Saccharomyces cerevisiae S288C: one gene and its partners. Changing the gene in region 3 together with the main gene of any one other region gives a genetic interaction. Each region holds a gene or a part of one and is shown on either strand. Other genes may lie near its edges. The genes, in order: GRC3, DAL2, SMA1 and YGR050C.

What was found.
Region 1: mutations in SMA1 (region 3) and GRC3 together harm fitness more than expected from each alone (negative genetic interaction), as found in Saccharomyces cerevisiae (one large-scale study listed by BioGRID).
Region 2: mutations in SMA1 (region 3) and DAL2 together harm fitness more than expected from each alone (negative genetic interaction), as found in Saccharomyces cerevisiae (one large-scale study listed by BioGRID).
Region 4: mutations in SMA1 (region 3) and YGR050C together harm fitness more than expected from each alone (negative genetic interaction), as found in Saccharomyces cerevisiae (one large-scale study listed by BioGRID).

What each region holds. Positions count from the first base shown.
Region 1 is NC_001144.5:66,780-71,312, forward strand, and holds GRC3 (polynucleotide 5'-hydroxyl-kinase), read left to right. Parts: upstream 1-1,800; coding exon 1,801-3,699; downstream 3,700-4,533. Other genes in the region: E3 ubiquitin-protein ligase PRP19, read right to left, coding at 1-1,477; putative AAA family ATPase RIX7, read right to left, coding at 3,854-4,533. UniProt on the Saccharomyces cerevisiae protein: Polynucleotide 5'-kinase involved in rRNA processing. Required for the efficient termination by RNA polymerase I and the processing of the IST2 pre-rRNA internal transcribed spacer localized between the 5.8S and 25S rRNAs.
Region 2 is NC_001141.2:408,610-412,446, reverse strand, and holds DAL2 (allantoicase), read right to left. Parts: upstream 1,641-3,837; coding exon 609-1,640; downstream 1-608. Other genes in the region: DCG1 (Dcg1p), read left to right, coding at 1-411; DAL4 (allantoin permease), read right to left, coding at 2,072-3,837. UniProt on the Saccharomyces cerevisiae protein: Utilization of purines as secondary nitrogen sources, when primary sources are limiting.
Region 3 is NC_001148.4:497,862-500,996, forward strand, and holds SMA1 (Sma1p), read left to right. Parts: upstream 1-1,803; coding exon 1,804-2,541; downstream 2,542-3,135. Other genes in the region: ERG10 (acetyl-CoA C-acetyltransferase), read left to right, coding at 235-1,431; putative serine/threonine protein kinase SKS1, read right to left, coding at 2,814-3,135. UniProt on the Saccharomyces cerevisiae protein: Involved in spore and ascus formation. Required for the efficient assembly of the precursors of the prospore membrane to a continuous prospore membrane.
Region 4 is NC_001139.9:591,511-594,437, reverse strand, and holds YGR050C (uncharacterized protein), read left to right. Parts: upstream 1-1,995; coding exon 1,996-2,352; downstream 2,353-2,927. Other genes in the region: protein kinase FMP48, read right to left, coding at 1-842; SCM4 (Scm4p), read right to left, coding at 2,561-2,927.

The DNA of each region.
Region 1 (4,533 bases), on a different chromosome or scaffold from region 3:
TTGTCTTCAGAATAGCGGCAATACCACCATCTCCGCATACCACGTCCATATCAGTGAAATCGGCAGTGTCGCTTTGCAAACAGAGGGCGCTCTCCTCGTCTTTAGTCCAATTTTTTGTTTTCTTGTCAAATTTGTATATCGTCAGCGAATTGCTCTCGTTTGAGTATGCAATCATATTCTTTCCAGAGTCGTCAATGTCATAGGTAACGGTGCCCGTCTTGAATTCTGGGATTGTGTAAGTTGGATACGCTAGCGTGCCGACATCCTTTCTTAGGTCAAAGCAAACCACAGTTTGGTCACACTCTACTACCATCCAGTACCCATTGTCTGCAAATTTAACCTCTTTTATCTTGGCTTCTTCATCTACGGGGAATCTAGAGCTTGCCTGGTCAGGTGATGACAAGTTGTAAACGTCTAATATACCGTCCGGAGAGTAAAGGGCTAATAATAATGAATCCTTATGTAGGACACCGCTGCTGTACTCAACATCTGATTTAGCAGAATGAACAATATACTGGGAATCATCCTCGTAGGATTGAAATCCTATGGTTCCTCTATTATCCGCCCAGATGAAGTACTCTGTGTTGACCTCGTTGTGACCATACATATATATAATCTCATTGGCGGAATCTACCTCTATTTCTCTGAGGACTTTGTTTGTTTTTGAGTCCAATATAGTTATTTGGTTACCTGGATATAGTAGTAGCAAACGATTACAAGGCCCTCTGGAAATAATAGCTGGATGCTCTCCCCCGGTACGGGGATTTGGTGTAGTTATTGTGGTAATCGTTTTCGAATCTTTTAATTGGGTAAAATGTAAAGCACCATCCTCACAGCGACACATGCACACCCATTTATCATAGTACATAGATTTGTTAAGCTCTTTATATGGGAATGTTTTGATGTTACGGGAGTAATTTTGTGCCTGTAATAGCTCCAAATTTTTTAAAATCGGCCATTTGGGTGCTTTGAGCTTGCCCCTCGCTACAAAGTCTCTAGAAGATTGTAACAGCCCTTGTAAAAATTCTTCTCTCGTAATAGCTACCGCTTGCTGTGAGGATTTGGGTAAATCCTTCGAATCTTCGTTTTTTTCCATCAATAGTTGCGCAGCGACCAACTTTGCAGCATCTCTTTCGTACATTACAGTCGACAGTTTTTTCGTTAAACTATCTAGAGTTGATCGTAACTTAAAGTTTTCGAGCATTATAGCATCCCATTCATTCTGTAAACTTGTCAACAGATTCGGAATCGAATAATTCGCTTTTAACGTAGCAGAGTTTGTAGACTCTGTTAGTGAGGCTTGTTGCGCACTAGGTACGATTTCCACTATTTCTTCGATGCTTAAGGGCTCATTTGTTATCGGATCATTCCCCGTATCTTTAACATACTGTTCAAGGAGCGACTTTTCAAAAATAGTCCTGGATTTAGGTGATAGAACTGGCCTTCTAGGAACTTTCCCACTAATAGCACAAAGCATTGTTCCCTAGTTGGCTTTCTTGGCTATGTTTTGGTCTTTAATATTTCTTGGAAAGTTTGCATCTTTCTAAAATTGCCCTTACGAATTTTTCACCGCTGCTACCCGAAAAAGTACGAAATTTATCAACATGAAATTTATTCCTGCCAAGTCATCGAGTGCTCTGCGCCTAAGGCTTAGGTTGCATTTAAGTTGTCTTAATTCACGCTTATAGTGCAGGTAGTATAGGTTCCCCACTCCTGATCTTTCCCTTCTGAAATAAGGAAAGACTGCAGTTTAGTTTGGCAGAGAGAAGAAGATAATCATTTCTATTATATTCTACCGCTATGGTGATAGATTCCAAACAGGATCTACCTCAATATACCAAAGATTCAGGTTCAGAATCGGACTCAGACTCAAGTAATAATTTCATTGTGGAATCTCCGTCAATTCCATCTTCAAAAAGTGCAACCGTAGTTCTCAATAGTGAAGAGTATGAGGACGACGAAGGTGATGACTTGAACGGGCTGGATGCTGAATTGATCGATAATATAACGTATGAAGGAGATGAAGATGAAACTATGTTTGTGGGGTTGAAAGAAAAACAGAAGTTACATTTATCTGGTGTTTTCCGGCTGCAAGTGGTGAAAGGAGGTATTGTCTACAACAATGTACACTATAACGCTTCGAGAGAAATTTTAACCTTCTGGCACCCGTTATCACAGTCCATACCTACTATAGATTTTTCGCACTTTGCAGGCTGGCAAGACACTTTTTTTATGCCGAGAAACAACAGGTTTAAAATTAGAGATGAAGAATTCAAATCATTTCCATGTGTTCTTCGCGTTTTTAATTCTAATCATACGGGCTTGTTAGAAGCAGGTCATTTATATCGGGATGTTAATTATCTATGGAAACCTAAAGAACCTTACTTTCCATTAAACGAGAGAACAACGTATCATTTATTACATGAGTCAGACCGAATTCAATCTTTATCCGTGCCGGGATATTGGTCAACTCCGTTAGAGAAGTTATATTTGAGTCACAAGAACGCTGCGTATGATACAAGAATCATGGTGATTGGTGGTAAAAACTCTGGGAAGTCTACATTCTTGAGGCTTTTATTGGAAAAATTTACGCAAGATATACGAGATTCTACTACGAGCCAGGAAGAATTGGTATACCTGGATTTAGATCCTGGTCAACCTGAATACTCACTACCTGATTCAATATCCCTGAATAAGATTCTTTCCAGCCCTATTTCTCTCGGACAACATCTCTGCCAAGGTTCAAATTTCCAAACTTTGTTACAGTTCTACGCTGGCTCCTCTTCCCCGCAGGACGAGCCCACATCATACCTGAACTGCGCTGATAAACTTATAGACCATTTGGAAGAGCAAGCCTTCTTCGGAACGTCATTGCTTAATCTACCTGGGTGGATAAAAGGATTCGGGATGCAGATTTTAAATCATATAATAAGGAAATATAAGCCCACTCACTTATTGTTTTTGGAAACAGCTAATTCGAAAAGACACCTGGATGAACTAACAATTCCACAGAGTTTTTCCACATCACTACGAGATGCATATGCACCTGAAGTTGTTCGCGTTCCAGCCCATAGTCTGAACCACACCTTATCTTCTAGGTTCCATGCATCACAACTGAGAACATTCAAAATACTGGCACTGTTTCATAAAATAACTCAATTTGATTATGATTTTGCGCCTCTTTTAAAATCTGCACCTTTGCAAATTTCATATGGCAAAGGTAAAAGCGGTATTAAAGGCATTCAATTTCCTATGGAATTCCAGGATCTGAATCCTCAAGATATCAAGTCCGCATTGGAAGGTACTGTCATTGGGATATATACATATTCTGGAGAAGACTCACTAGAGGTGAAATCCTTGAATACCTTTCCCATCCTACAATCGTGTACTTCTTCTTCTAAAAATTTCATAACTCTGGGGCTGATACACTCTATTGACACCTCCCAGCAAATAATGAACATTTACGTGCCACCTTGCCATACCCAGATTTTAGATAAACAACCTGAGGATGCTCAATGGATAATAGTAAGAAATAAGACGGAAACTCCTTTTTGTGACTTTCTTCCATCCCCCCGCACAATTACATGGGATGATAATATACAAATACCGTTCGCAACTTTTGAAAGAAGGAAAAAATTGGAACATGTGTGGAAAGTTCGTAAGAACGTCATGAGACGTGGCCAATTCATGAAAAGATAGAAAGAAAAGGTAATCGTACATTTTTTAATAGTGAAAGATAGAGGATACACAAAAATCATGCAAAGTTTTATATATTTGTTATGTATACTCATATTCCTTCAATATCTAAGTCATACTAACTTCTAGGGACTTTACCAAAATATTATTTATAAATTTATTGTTTCATTTCTTCCGCATCCTTCATCTCCTCCGTTAAACCCATTTTCTTATTTAATCTATCATATTTCAGTCTATCTTTATCGCTCACAGAGGGTTTAATCTTTCTTAATGCACTTCGGAAGTCAGACATGGTCACAATAATTTCTTCGCCAGATACGCCAACCGATAGATCCTCAAATTCCTTGTCTAAGTCATTATCAAGAACAGATTGTATTTCTTCGCTCTGAAAAAACTTCCTTTTTAGAGCCAAGACTGAACTCTCCCTGACTAAAGCAGCCAAGTCAGCGCCTGAAAAATTGTTGCACTTCTCATTTCTGATAATTTCTTCAAAATCAACATCGCTACTCAGAGGTGTTCCGTGTGATTTGGTCAAAGTTTTGATAATATCTAGTTTTTCCTCAGTATTAGGTAACTCAATAAACAAACTCTTATCCAATCTGCCCGGTCTTAACATAGCAGGATCAATCATATCAGGTCTATTAGTGGCGCCAATCACAAAAATTCCCCTTCTATCGTTCAGCCCATCTAATTCCGTTAACAAAGTGTTGACGACTCTTGAGGAGGATTCGGACAAAGAAGTATCTCTTCTTGGCACCAAAGCGTCCAGTTCATCAAAAAATATAACACACGGTACAGACGCCCTTGCTCTAGTAAAAACTTGTCTGATGGACCTTT
Region 2 (3,837 bases), on a different chromosome or scaffold from region 3:
GTTGGGTTATTAGATAGTAGTATTAATTATTGCAATTTGGTTGGAAAGAAGTTCTCTATTATTACTTCAAATAAAGAATGGATTCCAATATTGAATAACTCTGTGGAATCGAAATTCTTGACAGGGAATACAGTTAACAAAAATTTATGGAAAGGTACGGTATCTACTGATTTACAGGTCCTCGACCTACATAGTCCAGAAAATTTCCAGCAGATAGCAGAAATTATATATCGCGAAAATATTAAAAAGCTTGATTCAGACATTGTAATATTAGGTTGTGCAGGATTCTCGGGTTTGCAAAATAAACTGGCGAAAACATTCCAAAGGGATGGCACGCTGTTTCTGGACACGATTGAGATCGGTTTACAGATTCTAATCACTATGATAAGATTTGTCAACTCACAAAAATAAATAGAAATATGATTGTTTTTTATAGAGTGTAAATTTTAATGTTTTGTCGTGAAGAAGAAGAAGTAAATAAAGTAGCGTGGGGATAGCGAAATGAAAACATTCAATTATCAAAACAAAAACTTTTAACTACATTTATACCTTTACTTTTAAAGTGCCAAGAGTGCATTGGTTTAAAATATACAGTAGTTAAGTATTTATCAGTACCCCCAAACTCTTATTCTTTTCACTCCTCCATCTGGAATAATCGTTAATTTGACATGGGAGACTCTTATACTCTTACGTATTTCATACACATGTTCTTTGTCAGGCCCCGTCTTTGACTTACCAACTAGCTCTACCCATGTTCCTTCACCAGTGTTCTCACTTGATTCTGACTCCTTCAAGCAACCTTCCACGGTAATGAACTGAGGGAAGTTCCCCCTGAAGTGTGCCGTATCAACAATAATCTTCTCAATGAAAGAAGACTCCCTGCCCAGTTGAATTACCGCCCAATCAGTATGACCTGGTTGTCTCGATCTTTTGGTTTCCCAGCCGTCCGACATATCATGACCTCGACCTGGCAGTAGCAAATTATCAACTGAACCGAAGTGTTGGTCAGAATACTTTAAAGCGACAGCACCATTGCAAACATAAGCCAAGTCAATTATATGATCCTTCGTTTTGAGTTCTGGAGGAACAACTCTTCCGTATAATCTAAATCTGGCGATTCCTCCATCGGGGTACATCTTCAGCTTGATGTGAGTAAACCTTTCTTTAGTAAGGCCGTTGCCTCTAACGAAAAGATGCCTTTGCGAAGGACCACACTCAAATTTCTCAACAATCTCAACCCAACGCGAGTCATCTTCCACTATATTACCTTCTTCGCCCTCGTCATAGAGCGCCTCTATTGATACAAATGGTGCATGATTACCATTGAAAAACGCAGTGTCAATTTCACCACCAATAATATGGGCAGCAGCGACTCCCATCTTGATGATAACCCAATCGTATTCCATCTCATTATGTCTTCGTGTTTCCCAGCCGTCGTACCATGCGCCTGAATGAACAAATCTGGTAGGATCCCTTATAGGAGCAGTTGGCTGAATTAAATTTTCAGCAGAAGCAAACCATTCATCTGAAAAAGAAACCACTTGACCACCTAACTTAGATCCTATAACATCTACTGCTTTGTTTTTTGAAATGATTATTGACTTAAATTCTGCCTCATCTGCCAAACTAAAAAACTTCATTTTTCTAAAGAAGAGACCGATTAGATACAATTAATTGTTTGATCGGCTTCATAATTTCCCCATATCATAGCAAAATGCACTTCCATTCCTTTATAGCATTTGATCTCAGAAAATGTGTCTATAATTTAGACTTTTCTTCCAGCTGAATTTCATTGTGGTTCCTGTGTTTTTATCTTATCGCTAATTCGAGTCAAAGATAAGATGTCGGAATTATCCGGAGTTCTGATAGGCTCAAACAAGCGCAAGTTTGGTAGGTTGATGACGGTTTAGCTAATCATCAGTACATTATTCAGACGGGAATGCATGTATGAAGCTGATAAATTTGATTAAGAAAGGTACATAAAAATACACAGAACGAATATTAAGGTGTTTTGAAGAAATTATCAATTCTCCTGATCACTACTGGTAAGAGAATAAATTGGGATTTTTATTTAGTAAACTATCTTTTCCTCGGTGCCATCATAGATACTGACTGTGTCATCGCAGAGGTCATCCCTACGTAACTCATTCTTCCAATCTTGCTCGAAGTCCTCAACATAAGCCCATCTTTGGAACCATCCTTTCTCTGTCAGAAAATTGGTTACGGGAGTACCAGGGACAGGAAAAAAGTAACATAATATGAGGTATATCACCGCACTAATAAAGAAACCTACCGGATAACCTAAATAGTATAACCTCATTGCACCCTCTGAAACCGTAATTTTTGGAGCTCCAACATCACCTATAAAACCTGGTAAATTTGGAGCGATACCGCAAATATACGCAACAAAGGCCCTCCAATTGGCACCAAATTTGTTTCCAAACATGTAAAAGGAACCCTTCTGTGCCAGGAATAAATGTGTTAATTTCACATATCCTCTTCTTACTACGAAATAATCCGCGCAAATGACACCAGCAATACTGGAAAGGAAAATTGCATAAGCACCCAAAGCGCTGGTGAACTTACTTGAACTGGCCATTAAGTTCCATGGACAGATACATAGAGCCATTGCCACACAGAATAAAGAACCTCTTCTAATATTAATATATCTTGGAAACAAAGCCGTCATATCAGCACCACATGCCAGAGAGTTGGCAGAAATGTTTGTACCCAGTTGAGCTAAGGCAAATACAAAAGAAATCAAGAACACACCAGCCCTAGTACCTCTGGTGTAAGTGGTCTCCAAAAATTGACCAAGTACATCCAGTGGTGACCAATAGTTAACCCCATATAAGTGATAACCGGCCGCAGTAACAATGATACCGATCAAACATGTTATGGCGAAGAACAATGGGATGGCAACCAATTGTGGCCACAAAGACGCTTGAGGATTTTTGGCAAATCTACCGAAGTCAGGGGCGTTGATAATCAAAGCGGCAAAGTTAGCAACACAGGCCATTAGGGATCTAACGAATATCCATGAAAATTCGGAACCATGAGGTGAATAATCATTCAGCGTCCCCAACTCAATTTTACCGTGCGATTTCTTCAAAGCCCAGATTAAAAATCCAAAGGCTGCGAAGGGGATCAAAGCTGCTTTTACTGTGAATAAATGCCTGATTTTATGAGGAGCCACTAGGACAAATGGTATACTGACCACCCAAAATATAAAGAAACACATGAATTCAAAAGTAGTGCTATTTGGAGAACCAAAATGGTTTGGGATTCTATCTTCCAGATTCTTGCCAAAAATAGATTTTAGCATCAGTGCCACGGGCGTTGCACCTAACCAGGCTTGCACGGCATACCATACTATAGCCATCACGACACGATTTATAATCGGCCACATAGAAAAGAATATACCAAATGAGGCCCTAACAGTAATAGGGAAAGATAAGTGATATGCGGAACCAAATCTCGAGTTCAATACTACGAAGATACCTGCAAAAGTGTAGCCGATCCAAACTGTAAGCCAACATTGCCACCAATTCAGACCTAGTTGTAGACCTGTACCAGCTATTTGCCATGTGTTAATATTGAAACAGTCTGCCAGCCAGAAATATAAGTAATTGAACCAGGACCAACACCTTCTTTCTTCTTCAACCGGTTTCAAGTCTCTGTTATACAAGAACGACTCTTTCAACGAAACATTCAAAGTTGTCTTGTCTAACACAATGAAATCGTAGTATATTTTACTCCAGATGGACTTTGTTTCGGGCAAGGGCACGACTTCGCTCTCCTCTATTGAGGAGTTGTCCACATACACATTAGTGTTGA
Region 3 (3,135 bases):
TTTACCGCCCAAGCCGGTTTTTTCGCTGGAGAGTACGGTACTACTAGCCCACCACACGTTCGTGGCCAGGTTGATAGGCCACCGTTGAGCAAAGGGCAGTAAAATATATAAAAGAGGAACAAGCGCTTCCATTAAGAGCACTGCTAAGCCTACTCGTTTTCTAGTTCTCTGAAAAAAGGTAGCCTAAAACAAGCGCCATATCATATATATTTATACAGATTAGACGTACTCAAAATGTCTCAGAACGTTTACATTGTATCGACTGCCAGAACCCCAATTGGTTCATTCCAGGGTTCTCTATCCTCCAAGACAGCAGTGGAATTGGGTGCTGTTGCTTTAAAAGGCGCCTTGGCTAAGGTTCCAGAATTGGATGCATCCAAGGATTTTGACGAAATTATTTTTGGTAACGTTCTTTCTGCCAATTTGGGCCAAGCTCCGGCCAGACAAGTTGCTTTGGCTGCCGGTTTGAGTAATCATATCGTTGCAAGCACAGTTAACAAGGTCTGTGCATCCGCTATGAAGGCAATCATTTTGGGTGCTCAATCCATCAAATGTGGTAATGCTGATGTTGTCGTAGCTGGTGGTTGTGAATCTATGACTAACGCACCATACTACATGCCAGCAGCCCGTGCGGGTGCCAAATTTGGCCAAACTGTTCTTGTTGATGGTGTCGAAAGAGATGGGTTGAACGATGCGTACGATGGTCTAGCCATGGGTGTACACGCAGAAAAGTGTGCCCGTGATTGGGATATTACTAGAGAACAACAAGACAATTTTGCCATCGAATCCTACCAAAAATCTCAAAAATCTCAAAAGGAAGGTAAATTCGACAATGAAATTGTACCTGTTACCATTAAGGGATTTAGAGGTAAGCCTGATACTCAAGTCACGAAGGACGAGGAACCTGCTAGATTACACGTTGAAAAATTGAGATCTGCAAGGACTGTTTTCCAAAAAGAAAACGGTACTGTTACTGCCGCTAACGCTTCTCCAATCAACGATGGTGCTGCAGCCGTCATCTTGGTTTCCGAAAAAGTTTTGAAGGAAAAGAATTTGAAGCCTTTGGCTATTATCAAAGGTTGGGGTGAGGCCGCTCATCAACCAGCTGATTTTACATGGGCTCCATCTCTTGCAGTTCCAAAGGCTTTGAAACATGCTGGCATCGAAGACATCAATTCTGTTGATTACTTTGAATTCAATGAAGCCTTTTCGGTTGTCGGTTTGGTGAACACTAAGATTTTGAAGCTAGACCCATCTAAGGTTAATGTATATGGTGGTGCTGTTGCTCTAGGTCACCCATTGGGTTGTTCTGGTGCTAGAGTGGTTGTTACACTGCTATCCATCTTACAGCAAGAAGGAGGTAAGATCGGTGTTGCCGCCATTTGTAATGGTGGTGGTGGTGCTTCCTCTATTGTCATTGAAAAGATATGATTACGTTCTGCGATTTTCTCATGATCTTTTTCATAAAATACATAAATATATAAATGGCTTTATGTATAACAGGCATAATTTAAAGTTTTATTTGCGATTCATCGTTTTTCAGGTACTCAAACGCTGAGGTGTGCCTTTTGACTTACTTTTCCGCCTTGGCAAGCTGGCCGGGTGATACTTGCACAAGTTCCACTAATTACTGACATTTGTGGTATTAACTCGTTTGACTGCTCTACAATTGTAGGATGTTAATCAATGTCTTGGCTGCCTTCATTCTCTTCAGGCTCTATTAATTTTAACCGTTATAAGTTCCTTTTCTCCCTTGGAAGCAAACATCAACTGCCTTAAAATCTGGTGGCGAGGAAAGAGGAAATGGCATGTACTAATGATGGTCCTAATAAATATCCCGAAATTGTGAGTGTTAAGCACCTGTTCCAACATTCGGGATCCAAGCATGAATTTAGTGCTGGTAAACGATTTTCAAAATCCATTGGTAAAATATTCAAACGAAACTCTGCTTTGAAAACTTCTAGAACTGAAACGGCAAATCATAAAATGGAATTGAAAAAAAGAGAGGGTGTTACCTTATTGCCACCTGTCCCAGAATCATTATTACATAAACTCAATTCTTGGTTGGAAACTTTTTCTTCCACCAAGAACATGAAAATCGAAGAAAACAAAATTGTTATTAATGAAAAAGAGATTCGGGATTCAGTCTCTTACTACCCTGATAAGAATGGAGGAAGTGCTGTATTTTGTTACTTGCCCGACCTTGTGCTATATTATAAGCCGCCTATAAAAGTCACAGGCAAGCAATGTCCAATAAAGAGAAGTCCTTGGGAATCGATGGAAATCCAATATCAAAAGTTTATGTACCCCTTAGAAAGGTTGGAAAGACAGTTTGAGGAAGTTCCATTTAGGCCCTGGTATTTTGCAATGCGATTAAAGGAACTTTACAGATGCTGTGAAAGGTCTTTTACTAACGCGGCAAATAGAGGAAAGGCAAGGTTATTGCGGGGGAAGCAAAGGACGAAAAAATCGTATCATAAGACTGTCAACCTGGTATCAGCGAAGATTTCCACCCATTCAAATGCGCCGTCGCCGGGCTGAGAAACAAAAAAAGTGACTAAGTTCTGTCATTCTATCATTATTGTAATTAGTTATGTAGGACATATATATCCATAGTGATCTCCTTTTGATCAAAGAAGACACTGAAAAGTCGTAAGTTCGTAAAAAAAGTATGAAAATCGTTCCAGCCATTGCTTATAGCCATCCTAGTAGGATACTAGAAAAAAAACAAACCTCAAAGATAAAAAGAAAAGGTGAAGCTATTACCGAATTAGAACATAAGATAATACAGTGAGTATAAAGGTGAGACCTGCTCAATAATCTGGTAACCATTTCTCGTTTGGACCGTCTGTTAAAGTAGAAAAATTCATTTGTAAGCATAATAGCCTATTTCTTAATGTATCTTGTTGGAATTTGCAATCTTTGGAAGCACTAACGTCATCGATATCAGATTGGTAAGGTGTACTGTCCATTGAGGAAGTTAAAAAGGTACTATTATTGTGGTTGTTAGTGTATTCATACTTTTCCATACTTCCGTCACTATTATACGTTGATGGAATATCACTCTCCGGTTCAGCATCTTCCTCTTCTTGCTGCTGTTGTGCTTGTTCCTGGTTTTGTATTTGTTCTTGTTTT
Region 4 (2,927 bases), on a different chromosome or scaffold from region 3:
AGATCTTGCCATATGTACTGCCTCGTATGCTGCAGGCTAACGTGTAGGTCTTCTTCATCATTGTAACCACAGGAGAGCCTTGGTACTACGTATTTCCTGTAAATGAATGCAAATGGATCTTTTTCAAACTCATCGAAATTTTTTAGATGCTGAACCTTCTTTGATTTGGAGACTCTAAAAAGGCAATCGCCGAACATCAGATAAAATATGGTGGCACCCAATGACCAATAGTCAGCTTGGTATGTGTTATACAATGGAGCCGATGACCGATCGAAATTCTTCTTAAAACAAGAGTTACTAACGCGGCCAGAGAAAGTTTCTGGCGCCCTGTAATTATCGGTACCAATCTGGAAGTCGTTAGATTTAGGGGATTGGATAGCGTGACCCCAGTCTGCCAACTTGATGTCACCATTTATCGTTAGCAAAATATTTTCTGGTTTGATATCACGATGAGCAATACCCAAGCTGTGAGCAAAGCTGATTGCTGAGCACAGTTGTTTGATTATCTTTTGCATATCAATTTGAATCAAAGATGGAGACGACGGGCTACCTTGACTCTTAGCAATATCTAGAAAGTCATAAAGATCACCACATTCGCAGTATTCTAGCACCATGATGTAGTACGAGTCATCCGTGTAAAAGTCGAGCATCGAACAGATGTTGGGGTGAGGATTACAAGAACTCAAAATCTTCATTACATCATACTCGTTCTTCATGTTGGCTTCTGAAGTTTTGTATTTAGGAGTAATCTTTAAAGCGACGTAGCGGTTATGTGTAGTACTCCATGCTTTATAAACTGTGCTAAATGTTCCTGATTGTATAGATCTTAGTTTTGTATACATTTTTGCTTTTTATTATTCGGTATATGCTGATAATGATGTGCTTATTTAAATGATTGCGTATACGAGTGAGAATTTGATTCGGAGGGTATGAGAGTCGATCTTGAGTCCTATGTTATATGCTTTTTGTCAGTAACGGGTTATTTAATGCTAAGAATAGTTATTATAAAAGGGAAATTTTTTTGTATTAAGAATAGTCATCACTTACATGTGTATATTATATATATATATATATATGTATTGTACTCGTATTATTATTCTTTGGGGAAAGTATTAGTAGGTAGATGCAACTAAGCTCCGATTTTTCCAAAATTAAGTTGTCCCTTATTGCATGGTCCCCTTAATTATCCTTCCTTTATTGTATGTAACATGAAGCTGCATTTTTGTTCTCAGGCAGCATCATCGTTCCCTTCACCTAACCCTTCTAACTTCCTTTTACCTGTTGCAAGCTGTCTCATACCCGCGCTGAAAAGGCTGAGAACTGGGTATTGTCCCAATATTACGCTCGGCTTTTCTTTTCAAAAACTTTGTATTCCAGATACTTCCATGTGCAATTTCCCTAGTGCTCCCTGTACCAAGCCATCGGAGAGGAGATGCCTTCTAGAATTCAAAGCACGTAAGGGGTACAAAAATCGGAACGGGCCGAAGGCCGAAAAGAGACGGCCGTACGTGAGAGCACATGCAAAGTGGTGAACGGGACGTTACGGAGAATTACGGAACCTCTCAACAGAAGATGCGCCAATAGTCCTTCCGAACTAGCTCCACGGGAGGGGTATGAAGAGCAAGCTTGTTTACGCAGCCTCACCACCGCACCGAAAGACCCTCACGACAGAAATGGAGCGCCTTTAATGACGTTCGTCCGCTGCGGGCCAGAACAGCACAGTTTTGCTTCCCCGTTTCTTTTCCACTATTTCGTCACCCGCTCGAGGTGGCTCGCCCGCTCGGAGGCAAGCTGCACATTCATCGAACACGGAGAGGCACGGGCGAGAGAAAAAAAAGCCTATTGACCTAAACGGATGTCATAATGAAAAGAAGGAATCCGGTTTTCCTGGGCATGACTAAGGTAGCACGACTCAACTGGGCCAGATCGGTTGCTTCTTCCGATATACATGCATTAGATTAAGCCAAAGTAAAATCAAAAGAAAATTTAGCGGATATGAAAACCAATCTAATCTCCTCGTTTGCTTTCCGACCGCATGTAAGGTTCGGCTTTCTTGACTTCGGATATAGCTTAAAGTCGATTCTTGACGTCACTTCGCAATATCATTTCATTCCCATTAAACTGGCGTATGGACTTTGCGATCCTTTATTAATAGTTTATCCGGATCCCAGTTTTAGTTTGGCTCAAGCTGCAGGTGAAAAGAAAAAAGTCGTATTCCCTACGTATGAAGATGTTCCGAAACTACTGTTGACGTTTAAGCAGATTATGAATACGTATAGGAAGGGAAGTTTGGGACAGAGACAGAGACAGAGAGTGTACGGGCGAAATGGGAATGAATCACATTCTACGTAATTTGTCTTTGACTTTCTTAGAGATACGTATATAACTTTTTTTTCTGTGTGAAAAATAAATATTCTCTTATCCAATGTGGACAAGAGCCAAAAATACTCTGCTTTGTATATTTACTAGTTTTTTTGGCCTTTTTTTTCGCTAAACATATATATTAGTCTCGCTTAAATAATTGTGATGTTTGAAGGGAACGTGTCACGTGCTTCGTCGTTCATGCTTTGAATCCATCTAGGATACACTTACCAAAGGTAAAAATTGTTATACCGGTTACAATGCTCATGTGCAATGACATGTATGAGTGACATTTTACGCTTCTTTCGGATTCAGGTTTTAATGTTTTGGCGTTGTTCATCTTTGAGAATGGGCATGCAGCTTCCCCATCTTTGACTTCCGGGTGATGTTGGGGTAATTTTTCATCCTTTTGCTTTTCTAAATCATTTTGGTCACGTGTGCATTTTGGGGCTAGCTTGTGATTGAACAGTGATACTAAGTATAGGTAGGCTGCAGATAATGGGGCGACACCAAGTCCGCACAAAAGGTAGTTTGGTCTTTCTCCTGGTGCAGCTAGATAGTAGCTG